Linked DNA regions of Mus musculus. The protein of the gene in region 3 interacts with the protein of the main gene of each other region in a pairwise test. Links are inferred from orthologs where the notes say so. Each region holds a gene or a part of one and is shown on either strand. Other genes may lie near its edges.

Region 1 (3,965 bases), on a different chromosome or scaffold from region 3:
CGGAAACATCTTAAAGATCTGGACTCGGAAGAGAGTGAGACCCTTGCCCCATCGGTAAACAGGTAACAGGAAGGTGAGGTTGCGCAGATACTGGGAGAACAAGACTATCAGGAGAATGGAGCTGGAGGCAGAGACACAAGAAGAAAATAGCTGGTGGGCCAGGTTGGGGCCCAGAAACAGATGAGAGGATAAGAATGAAGGGGATGTGGGGTAGCGCCTAGGACTGGGCAAAAATAGTCCTGTTGCCTGCTCACCAAGCCGAAATACCCCAATGAGAGCCAGCTCGGTCACCAGCAGCTTGGAAAACAGAGAGCCCAATAAGGGAGACAGTGGGGGTGACGGTGAGAGGCCCAATGTAGCTGAGCAGGGCCCCAGGCAGCCCCATCAGCCCAATCACCACCTCCACCATACTGGACACCATGATTGCACCCTGGACCTAAAAAGGCAAAATGAGCTATAGTCACTTTGACCTGGCATTATCAATATGTAAGTTCCTCAGCCACCTCCTTGCATACAGCTTAGCAGTGGCCTGCCCACCCAGCCCTTCCTTCAAACCCAATCTCTTCACCCACCTCCCGGATACGAGGATGCCAGATATGGGAGGTGTTGAGAGGCATACTCCAGTTACCGTAGATCTCTTCTGCAGACAGATGGAGAGAACACACTGCCATGAACAAACACACCCTGGTGCCTAGACTCTGGGAAGCTGCCCAGACCTTCACGACCTCTCCACCAGTGCAGATGGGCAAACTGAACCCACCTTCTGAAGGACACTTCCACCTCTCCAAGGCCAGGATTGACTTGGCTGGAACCAGAAAGGCAAAGGCACTGGCCTGGAACAACGGCAGCCTGGAAGGCGGGGCACATAGCAGTGGTGGAGTGGGTTGAGGAAAAGGGATAAAGGGAAGTCCCTAAGACCCCACATGGAGTCCCGCCCCCACATTTTCAGGGATCCTCCAGTTCAAACCCTGCATCTTGCCTTCAGCTCCCCCACCTCAGTGCCAAGAAGAGACATGTGCTCCAAAGCAGACTGCTCCATTTCTGAATCTGAGGGCTGCCTGCGATTGTTCCCAGCTACCACCACTGAACCCAACAGACTTGTTCATCCAAGACTAGGAATCCCCAAGTCTACATATGGATGCTGAAAAGGCCTGCTCACAGGAATGGACAGTGGGCAAGGAAGCAGTCCTTCTAAACCTTTGGAGCAGAGTGAGAGGAGGGAACCGCAGGGCTCCTAGGAACCCAGCTACCTAGCCCTCGGGCTAGGCAGGCAGACAGGGCAGCCAGACAGGGTAGAAGCCAGCTGGTCACAGCCCACCTGTTCTGCCGTATGCTCGCATGCGAGTATGTGTGCTTGGGAGCCGGGGAGGAGCCGCTCACCGGATGCCCACTGTAGTCTGGATGAGAGTGGTGATACCCACACAGGTGAAGATGGTACCAATGAGCTGACTGACCATGTGCTGGTCACGGCCCACACACAGCGCCTCAGCCAGGAGGAAGGGCACGGCGATGGTGCCACTGAAGCACGTCAGGTAATGCTGGGGTGAGAGACGGTCGAGAGGTGACCCCATAGCACTCTCATGGCCATGGGCACCCGGGTCTGTGTCCTGAACCTGGACCATACTGACAGGGTGCTTACTTGAAATGACATTACCCACCACACCCGACAAGGGATTCCCAGAGAACTACTGCTCACCCACCACTCGGGGCCCAGTCTCCCCCAGGTTAGCCCTACCTACCGTTCCTGTCTATCATATGCTACCCACAATCCTCCCAGGCCACTTAACCTTCTTTGGCACAGCTGTTTGGTGACAGTGACTGTGCTGACCTTGTCTCTTTCTCTAGCCTGAAATGACCTTCCTGATCAGAGGTGGCTCGGGATCCCGGGGGAGTAGCTCATGTAGAGCTGGGGAGGTCTTGTGAAAACCCACCTGGAAGCCCAGCAGGATGCACAGGTACCATGGTGGCACATCCTCAATCTTGTACAACATGTCAAACTTGGGCTCCGTGGGCAAAGGTGCCTGCCGGTCCCTGGTGGAAGTCCCTGCTGAATCCACGACCTCATGCTGCTCAGGGAAGTAGGGAGCCACGGCCGCTCAAGGCAGAGCGATGAACCAACCGGCAAAGCCCGCGCTGCCTAGACTAAGGGAGCTACAGCCGTCTCCCAGCAACTCAGTGAGGGCAGGATGCGGCAGCAGCTACCCTCCCCAGCTGGTTCCCAGTGGTCCTTCCCACTTCCCACGCCCTGCTGTGGGGATGAAAGCAGTGTCCTGGCTTCCAGAGCCCTTAAGGGCTTTCTAGTGAGGCCCCTAAGTCAAGAGACTGGGAAGGTATCAGACCAGAGTGGGATCAGACTGGGCAGGTCTAGACTGTGGAGAAGCCCCCTCCTGTCCCACCTCTATCTCCTAGAGGTTCTTGAAGGTGCCACAAGGTGAGAAGAAGGCCCAGCCCCTAACTGACCTCCAAGCCCAAGTCAGCCAGGCCCTAAACCTAAGGTTCCCTCACCCCTTCCCTCCACCCCGTTCCCCGAGTGCCACTCGAGGCTCAAGACTGTCACTTTTTGTCATTTGGCAATGTTGTCTCTGCCTTCCCAGAAAGATCAGTCCAGCCCCAGCCCCAGCCCCCACCCGCCGTGCCCCTCGCCCAGGTCACAGCTTCGCTATGCCCCCAGCACCTGCTTTGGGCTCCCGGGGTCCTCCGGAGTTTTCATCTCTGAGGCACAAGTTTGAGAAACCTCTGAGGAGAAAAGAAGAGGGCTTTCCCAAGGCCAAGGAGGACTTTACTCCACTCATCAGACATTGTTCGAAGTCAATCTGTAACCAGGTCCATAGCTCCAGATTGCGAAAGGGGACTGGACAGAGGTGAGGTATTAACTCTGGCTCCGGTGGTAAAGGCCGCCCAAGCAAGGGGCACGTTTATCTGCTGAGTATCTTCTATGCTACCCGCATCCCAGCCTGGCACAAGGCCTGTTCTTGTTTCCCTAGTGAGGGCCAGAGTCTACAGGGTGAAGAGGGGACAGTCAGGGGATGACATGTGAGGAGAGGGAGAGGACATGACTCATCCCCCGCTCTCCAAACCCTCTGCACTTATTAATGGAAGTTTATCTTATCACCATTGCTGCTCTTCAGGAAGAGGATCAAATGCCATTACCTGAGTTTGTATATGCACTGTCACATGGACCCTCTGGGATTGCATATGTTAACTCTTTCACTGCTGAAAGAAAAAGACTTAGTAGTGATATGACCACGGTCAGACAGGAAGTGAGGTTCAATTCAGGAAACCAAGGTTAAATTCAGGTTGGTTTTGGCGCCCCCTCCCTGCCATCCTTCAGCACATAGGATTCCTGAGGTATCCACAGACAGGCCTCTGCCCCTGTGTCAGGATGAGCATCTTAGTCAGGAAGAACTACTCAGTTTGGGGGACCCTGTAAAAATGAGAAGGGGCATCTTGTTGCAAAAACATTAAGACTTTTGTTGTGTCTAGTGGCTAATGCCTGTTATCCCTGTACTCAGGAGGCTGGGGCAGGCGGATCCCAGGGAGTTCAAGCCCAGCCCAGCCTACCTAATGATTTCCATCTAGGCCACCCTGGACTATGCACTTAAAAAGGAACACACAACATAGCAAAACTCTATCTGAAAAGTAACAGGGAAGGGCCAGCTGGGCTCCTCAGGTAAAGGCAGAGACCACCAAGCCCAGTAACCTGCCTTGACCTCTGGGACCGGAGGACGAGAGCTGCCATCCATAGTTCATCTTCTGACTGCCACATAGACCCCTCTAGCAAAACACCCAAACTCAACCAACACAGACACAAATGAAAGCAGACAGACAGGCAGGCAGGCAGACACACACACACACACACACACACACACACACACACACAAAAACACACACACAGACACATACACACAGACACACGCATGCAAACTAATAATAGATAAATAAATAGCCAGGCATGGTGGCGCACG
Region 2 (4,153 bases), on a different chromosome or scaffold from region 3:
TTTAATCTACCTGAATCAAGATAAATATTTTAGTATTTCTGCATAAGCTTCCTCAACAGAGAAGGGTTTTGTAAGGCCAGCTGTATTCTGATTTAAAATATACAAACCAAATGAGCTTCCTTCACCAGGGCATCTCCTGCCACTTAAATTTCTATTTTTTAAAACAGAAACAAAAATCTCTTATGCCCTTGCCCCGGTGGTTTTTCAAAAGCTGCTTCTGGCCGGGAAAGCTCCCAGGAATACCATCAGAACACCAATAACAGCAACCAGTGGAGACCACTTTCCCCATGTTTTGCTTCTAAGGCTTTCAGAAAAGTTACATGATACCATTTGGAGGGGAAAATATTATCAGGTACATAATTGGCAGCTGGACATGTGTCAGTCGTTGCCTGTAAATCTAATTACTGAGAATTAGAGCATGCCACTACATGACCACAGGGATAAGAAAACCACTACGACTCGGCTCTGATTAGAAATTCAACTTTTTAATTTCTCCTCACTCCTGAATGGGTGGATTAGGTATTATATTAACTGTGAAAATGTACACCCTGTCCGGGTGCCCAGGCTATCCCATACCAAGCGAGGAAAGGTCGTTTGTTAAGACATGAAACAGCTGAAGGTAAAACACCCTGCCTAGACGTCAAGAGAATTAACTTTAAAGTCAATTATTAGGATCAAAATAGGTGAATACCACCATTAGCTGTGTATTTACTTGAAATAATAATCATAATAATGTGCTTAAAGAGCTATCTAAAACAACACTGCACAAAACAAACAGATTTCGACGATAAGAATACTTTAAAACCTCCATTGTCACAAAAGCATTCCAAAAATTATGACCAAACCTAAGATTCTCTTGATATCGAGGATGTTATTGGAGTTGACCAGTTTCTCCAAAGTACGTCATTTTGGGGAGTTGGATCCACTTAAAGATATAAAATATGGCAACCATGAAGGTTTTAAAACAGTGAAGATCTGTACCCCTCCAAACTTAAAAGCTGTCATTTTAGAAACCCAGGCAACCTTATTAACTTGTTTTCCCCACCTCTGTGGATACCAACCTGCAGCGCAGTTCTCCCAAATCCATTTTGAGCGTTGACGTTTACATTATTTTGCAACAAACTAGTAAGTTGCTCTAGGTCCCCCCTGGCAGCTGCGGACGCCAACTCGTTCCCCCAAGGCTCGGCCATTCTTTAGGGTCCTGACGATCGGGAAAAGACGATTAGTTGCTTCTCTTTTTCCCCTTTCCTTTGCTCCTAATCAGGCTGCATGATGGCATCGGAGGCTGACAGAAGGACTGGGATGGTTAATCTGGAGTAGAGCTTGGTAGTAAATACTAGTAAGGTCGGCCTGCCAAAAGCCCGCCCCTCGATTCACACGTGATTATTCAGCAAAAGTGAGCCCATTGGAGAGGGGCTCCTTCTCTAGCTTTTTAGCTTAACCCCTAAGAAGGATTCTGGCGATTCAACAGAGATACATACACAGAAGCAGTTCTTGATTAATTACTATGGACGTGAGATGTAGGCAGAGCTGTCACGTACCTAAGCTTTACAGCTCTGTGAGGAAGATGTTGCGGAGACTTAAAGGACTAGGTCAGCTCAGACAACACCGCGAAAGAAAAAGTATTAGAGAGTAGAAAAGGTATTAACCCACCCTTGTTCACAGTGGTGATTTGAGGCAGAATTTCAGAGTCAGGTCCTTCGCAGAGCTCACTTTCCATCCGTCTAGCCGAAGGGGGTAGTCCAGAGTGCTGCTCGCTCGCTAGCAGAGCGCCGCGCTGGCTGGATGCTGACGTGCTCGGGAGGGTTAAAGACGATCGCTGAGGGCAGACCAGAGCAGCAGCTCTGAAGCCCTCAACTCTCAGGTCTCAACGACTCCCTAGCGGGCTCGGCGTCTTCAGAAGAGCCTCCGGAGCCCGCCCGCCGAGCTGCCGCAGCCCCGCCGAGCCTCAGAGGCCGTGGGAGCCGGGCAGGGCGCGGGTCTCCGGAGGCTGGTGGGTGTGCGGCAGACCCCCGCCAAGCCCGTCATGCCGGCCCCGCCGGGTCCCGGGACTCCCGGCAGCCTGAAGACGGTGCACGGCGAAGGGGGAAGCGTCTATGGGGCTCCAGCCGCTGGGGTAGCTCGCGGCAGCATCGCTCTTGCACCCGGCCAGCTCACCAGTAACTTCCCGCCTACGACCGAGCTAGCTCAGGCTCTTCACTGCAAGCGCTCGCTGAGGGGCGGCCGTCGCCTCTGCCGCTGTCGTTCCCTCCCTTTCAGATTTTCCCGGGGCGTCCGATGATGGGAAGGGTCTTTGGAAGTAGGAGCGGTCGCCACAGATCCCGGGCGCAGCCAGTCCCGCCAACTTCTTGGCGGCCGCCCAGCAGCTCGGGCGCTCGGTGCCACTTGGCCAGTTAGTTCTTGGCGGTCCTCCGGCCTGTGCCCCTATCAGTGCCGCGGACAGGACAGCGGCTGCCAGCCAGTTGGGTTCCGGAGCCGAGGCAGGCTGCGCCGGCCGGTCGCGAGCCGCAGCTGACAGTTTCTTTTGTAGTCCGACTCCCCCAAATCTCTGATCGCCGCTCCCTTCTCCGCTACAGACACTTGCGCGTCTTTCCTTTAGGATCTTTCCCTTCCCTCCCTCCTTTGCTTCTTTTTCCGCTGAAGCAACTGCTGCTACGGTTGCCTCTGAAGGTACTGTGCCGGTTTCTTATCCCTTTTTTCCGACCTCATCAGCTTTTTTTGAAAAGAAAAAAATTGAGCGCTTTTTGAGTTGAAAAACCCGCCCCCATTTTAACGGCAGAGTTTTAAGGAGGCTCCGCCGAGTTAGGGCGCCGCGGGAGCGGGAAGGCCGGGCCCCGCCCACGCCCCGCCCAACGCCCTGGCGGCGCAGTGGCCGGCAGCCCGCTCGCTCCGCCCTCGCGGCCCTGCGCCCTTCTCTGCCCGCGCTGGGCCTGGGTTCGCTGGCGCTCCCGCCTGCCCTCTCGCTTCGCTAGTCTCCCCTGCCGAAGCGGGGTGGGTTCGGCCCGGCCTGGCCTGCTGTTCTGGGGCTGGCTGGAGTGGGAGCCTCTACCGTGCGGGACCCCGGTGGTGGTAACTAAGGCCGCGGGTGCGGGCGGAGGCCCTTAGAGGCTCGGCGGCCCTGCAGCTGACGGGTAGGATCTCCTCTGCTGGAGCCGGGCAGCTCCACCCTCCTCGGCGCTCCCCGACCAGGCTCGCCGAGTTCGAGTGGCCTGGCCCGGGGCTGCTGGACTCCTTTGCTCTGCCACAGGCCTTGGCACCTGTCAGGTCATTGCCAGGGCTGCAGAGGCGACACAACTGACAGCACCACAGGGCAGAGAAGTCTTGTAGACCGAGTTTTATGAGAACTGAAAGCATATTACAAGAAATCCCGACGAACTTCAGGGTCTAGAAAATGTGAACTTCTAGTCTTGAGGGAAAAGGAGAAATGCAATTAACTTTAAACAAAGCTTACAGTGAGTTAGAAAGGTTTTCTAAAAAGGCTATGTCTTTATTGGGGGATTTCTTTCACTCACTACACCGAGGATTGGTTGTTTTTAGGTGGAGGTGAGGATGGTGGTCTAAGTGTAAAAGGACCAGTGCATCCATATATTTCATATTCATCAATTTTCTGTACTTTTCACGTCTTCTTGTAGGCATATGAGATTATTGCCTTCTATACTTTTATGCTTTTAAAAAAACACCAGCATGGTTGCATTCAGTGGTCAAAATGAAACCAAACCCCCCCTCCGCCTCCCCTCCCCCCCAAATATTGGTCTAATTAGAACCAGCCACTGCACATATATCCTCAAGTAACATCTGTAACCCAGTTCCTTGGAGTAAAGTGAAAGTATTCAAACAAGCCAGAGACATCTGGATAGTCATTTAGCAACAGGTTGGCTGTTAGGGAAAATTGGAACTACAAGAATTTGGCAGTGTTTCTTTAAGTTGTTAAGAAAAAGATTAGAGCTAATTTTTGAGGTATCGAAAGCTGAATATTGTGAATCAGGTAACAACAAAGGGGATGAACTTCTTTAAAAATCATTTTAACAGAATATTTAGGATTCCATGTATACTGTATTCCATGTATACATTCTGGGAACTCTGAGTTTTTAGTTATCTGGAAGCTATGATAGGAGATTGGCACTGTTAAAGTGATAACTAGCACTAATACAAA
Region 3 (3,500 bases):
AAGAGGTCATCAGAATTCATGTGAGAGTTCAGTGATTCTCAACCTGTGCATTGAGACCCATTTGCCAAACTTCTGTCTCCAAAATTACTTACATAACGGTATAATTTTATAATTTTATGCTTGGGGGTCACCACAAATGAGGAACTATATTATAGGGTCTAAACAGTAGGAAGGCTCAGAACCACTGGTTTAAGCCATATAATTCCATATTTTTACATATTACTTTGTTTATAAATAATACTGATTACAAACTATTTTCAATTTATTAAAGCCAGTGGTCCAAATATTCTACCATGTAGATATGGTGACACATACATATAGCCCTAACACTCAAGTTCTAATGGGCTGATACAGGAGAATTGTGAGTTCTGAGCTAGCCTAGGTCTTTTTTTTTTTTTTTTAAGATTTATTTATTTATTATATGTAAGTACACTGTAGCTGTCCTCAGATACTCCAGAAGAGGGCATCAGATTTCGTTACGGATGGTTGTGAGCCACCATGTGGTTGCTGGGATTTGAACTCCGGACTTTCAGAAGAGCAGTCAGTGCTCTTAACCACTGAGCCATCTCACCAGCCCCTAGCCTAAGTCTTTTAAAAGATCTTGTCATTAAAAAAATATATATTCTGCAAATATAAAACTGCAAATAACTAGTTCTACCTAAAAAATAATTTATTCTACCTACAAAGACCTTTAAAACTTGTCAAATTTTCTTCTTTTAGATTCATCCTGATTAGTTAGGATGTAATTAATGGAGAATTTGGTGTTCGTTTTAAAACTTCTCTTTCATCCGTACACTCTGATTTTTAAATTTTTTACTGGTGCTACAGAACTCTAGGGATACTACATTGGTTTTATGAATTAGAGACGACATAGCTGGCTGTAATGTGTTTAGCGATTACTAGACATACCATTCAAAAGCAAAGCCATGGCCAGATTCAGAGGAAGAATATGCTACAGGAGAACCAGATGTGAGATTATATCTGCTTTCTGATAGAATTGGGTGAAAGGATAAAGAGTTTAGTGTTAGTGTGTAAAAGTTAGATAAAAGGGAAGGGAGAAACTTAATGAGATGAAGAAAATTTAGTAAAATTGGATAGTTACTAAAATAAATGGCTTTTCAGAATTGTCTTCTACCTCCTTCTCTCCCCCCCACCCCCAGCCTAGATCTTCCTAAAATAACTGGAAAGAGACAGTAGGGTTGGTTTTTTTTTTTTTTAAAGATTTATTTTATTTATATGAGTACACTGTCTCTGTCTTCAGACATACCAGAAGGACATATCAGATTCCATTATAGATGGTTGTGAGCTACCATGTGGTTACTGGGAATTGAACTCAGGACCTCTGGGAGATCAGTGAGTGCTCTTAACTGCTGAGCTAGCCCAAGACAATAGTTGTAACAGAGTTCAGAAAGCAGCCTCTTCCCCGCCCTTCAGATGAGAGTTACTGCCACAGTAAGAACCACATGGTGACGCCGAATTTTAGGAAAGTTAGTGTATGGATTTGGAAAAGGAAAAGTTTTCGTACAGCAAGATGGTTCCAAGGGTGAAGATGCCTGCCTCCAAGGCTGACAACTAAGTTCTATCTCCAGGACTCACGTGGTGAAGAGAGAGCAGACTCCCACAGTTTGCCCTCTGACTTCTTGTGTGCCTCGGGTACCTGCACATGATAAATAAGATCCATACAATTCCCGTGTACTAAGTTTTCAGCTTCTTACCCTTTCTCTTGTAGCAAATCCAGTTTGCTGATGACATGCAAGAGTTCACCAAATTCCCTACTAAGACTGGCCGGAGATCTTTGTCTCGTTCCATCTCACAATCCTCCACAGACAGCTACAGTTCAGGTAGGTATGACTTTGATGTCCCCTCTGTCCCGTCTTATTCACGGGTGCTCTTCACTAATACTTAGAATGTGAGAATCATTCCCAGCAAGACTTGCAGCTGAGGATGCTTTTGTTAAGATGTTCTTTCCCAGGCTGTTTTCTGTGTGGTCTGTGATCATTGCCTAGTTAGTGGCACTGGGAAGTTCCTATATCCACATTTGCAAGGGGGGGAGAATCAGTGGTATTTTTGCTTTCAGAACTGGCATGTAAAAAGAAATTTACTTTTAAACATAAGTTATTTGCATAAAACATACCCTTCCACCCATGTTTTTCTTTTTGTTGCTAAAACAGCTTGAATTATGACAATAAAATTTATATTTTTGTCTCCTTTTATTTATAAGATTACCCTTTATGTTAATATGCCTTTCCCTGTTAATTTCTGGAATGGGAAGATATAAACTATTGTAATGTGACTCCAGCTGTTTCCCTACCCTCCTGTCTTAGCCATCTGTAGTAAGTCAAGTCTTTGTTCTGGTTAAATTGTGCCTATCTCAGCCACAGAGAAGGTATTAAGAAATAACTAGAAAGGTGTTTAGAGGCTGAGATGACTCAGTAAAGTACTTACTCTGCAGGCATAAGGACCTGAGTTCGAGCCACTTAAAAAGCTGGGTGGGCAACCAAAGAATACACATGGAGGGACTCATGGCACTGGCCGCATATGTGGCAGAGGATGGCCTTGTTGGACATCAGTGGGAGGAGAGGCCCTTGGGCCTGAGGGTGTTCAATGCCCCAGTGTAGGGGAGTGCCAGGGTGGGAAGACAGGAGTGGATGGGTGGGTAGGGGGGGATGGGATAGGGTGTTTCCGAAGGGGAGACCTGGAAAAACATTTGAAATGTAAATAAAGAAGATAGCCAATTAAATAATAATGATAAAAAGAAAAATAAAAGCTAGGTGGGGAGGGGGATACATTCTTGCAATCCCAGTACTGGTAAAACAAGCAGATTTCTAGATTAACTGGCTGACCAGCTGCCTGTCCTAGCCTAATCAGTGAGCTCCGGGTCTGGGGATGACCTGTGGCACCTGAGATGAACTGAGGTTGGCCTCTCTGACTTTCCTGTGTGCAGACACAGTCACAGAAGCTTATGAGTCTTAGAAAGGGAACTGAGGAAAACATTTAGAGAGGACTGAGACAACGTCATCATTCAACAGAAGAGATAGTTAAAGAGGAAAGGCTTTAATGTTAATGAGGATTGGTATGACAAGCCCTTCACTGGTTCTTACCAGTAGTATTTGCATTGTTTTATTAAATTTCAAGGGCTGGTTGTGAGGTTTAAGGAGTGTAAAAAAAATTATCAAAGAAAATTGTATCTCTTCTCTGTGACACTGATAATCCAACCAATAAAGGCAGGATAGGCAAACAAGAACAAATGAAGGTAAGCAGGGTAAACTGAAATACACGGTTATATAGATTCTGTGGAGCTGAAGCATGCAAGAAACAATCCCAAATAGGATGGCTAACAAAAATGAAAAGGTATCTGAAGCGACAAACTAAATTAGAGTGGGGTGAGCAGAGCACTTAGAGTAAACAGAGAGGGGACTTTCATGTGGGAAGATTGAGCTTTGGAAGGAGAACAGGTGGAGGAAGTGAAGTTCTCAAAGGTCTTCATGGTCATCTTACAG

The links. The genes of interacting proteins can lie anywhere in the genome.
Region 1: the proteins of Ahcyl1 (region 3) and Slc23a1 interact in binary tests that used the Homo sapiens proteins (3 or more experiments, as listed by UniProt). The two-hybrid records come from large-scale screens. The link is inferred for Mus musculus from reciprocal best matches to the Homo sapiens genes AHCYL1 and SLC23A1.
Region 2: the proteins of Ahcyl1 (region 3) and Cdkn2c interact in binary tests that used the Homo sapiens proteins (3 or more experiments, as listed by UniProt). The two-hybrid records come from large-scale screens. The link is inferred for Mus musculus from reciprocal best matches to the Homo sapiens genes AHCYL1 and CDKN2C.

Annotation. Positions count from the first base shown.
Region 1 is NC_000084.6:35,624,428-35,628,392, forward strand, and holds the start of Slc23a1 (solute carrier family 23 member 1), read right to left. Parts: upstream 2,801-3,965; 5' UTR 2,737-2,800; coding exon of another isoform or gene 2,711-2,736; coding exon 2,675-2,710; intron 2,067-2,674; coding exon 1,932-2,066; intron 1,539-1,931; coding exon 1,381-1,538; intron 850-1,380; coding exon 761-849; intron 641-760; coding exon 573-640; intron 437-572; coding exon 255-436; intron 122-254; coding exon 1-121.
Region 2 is NC_000070.6:109,663,957-109,668,109, forward strand, and holds the start of Cdkn2c (cyclin-dependent kinase 4 inhibitor C), read right to left. Parts: upstream 2,801-4,153; 5' UTR 1,654-2,800; intron 1,417-1,653; exon of another isoform or gene 1,202-1,416; 5' UTR 1,191-1,201; coding exon 1,062-1,190; intron 1-1,061. UniProt on the Homo sapiens protein: Interacts strongly with CDK6, weakly with CDK4. Inhibits cell growth and proliferation with a correlated dependence on endogenous retinoblastoma protein RB.
Region 3 is NC_000069.6:107,676,061-107,679,560, reverse strand, and holds part of Ahcyl1 (S-adenosylhomocysteine hydrolase-like protein 1), read left to right. Parts: exon of another isoform or gene 1-1,272; intron 1,273-1,729; coding exon 1,730-1,841; intron 1,842-3,500. UniProt on the Homo sapiens protein: Multifaceted cellular regulator which coordinates several essential cellular functions including regulation of epithelial HCO3(-) and fluid secretion, mRNA processing and DNA replication.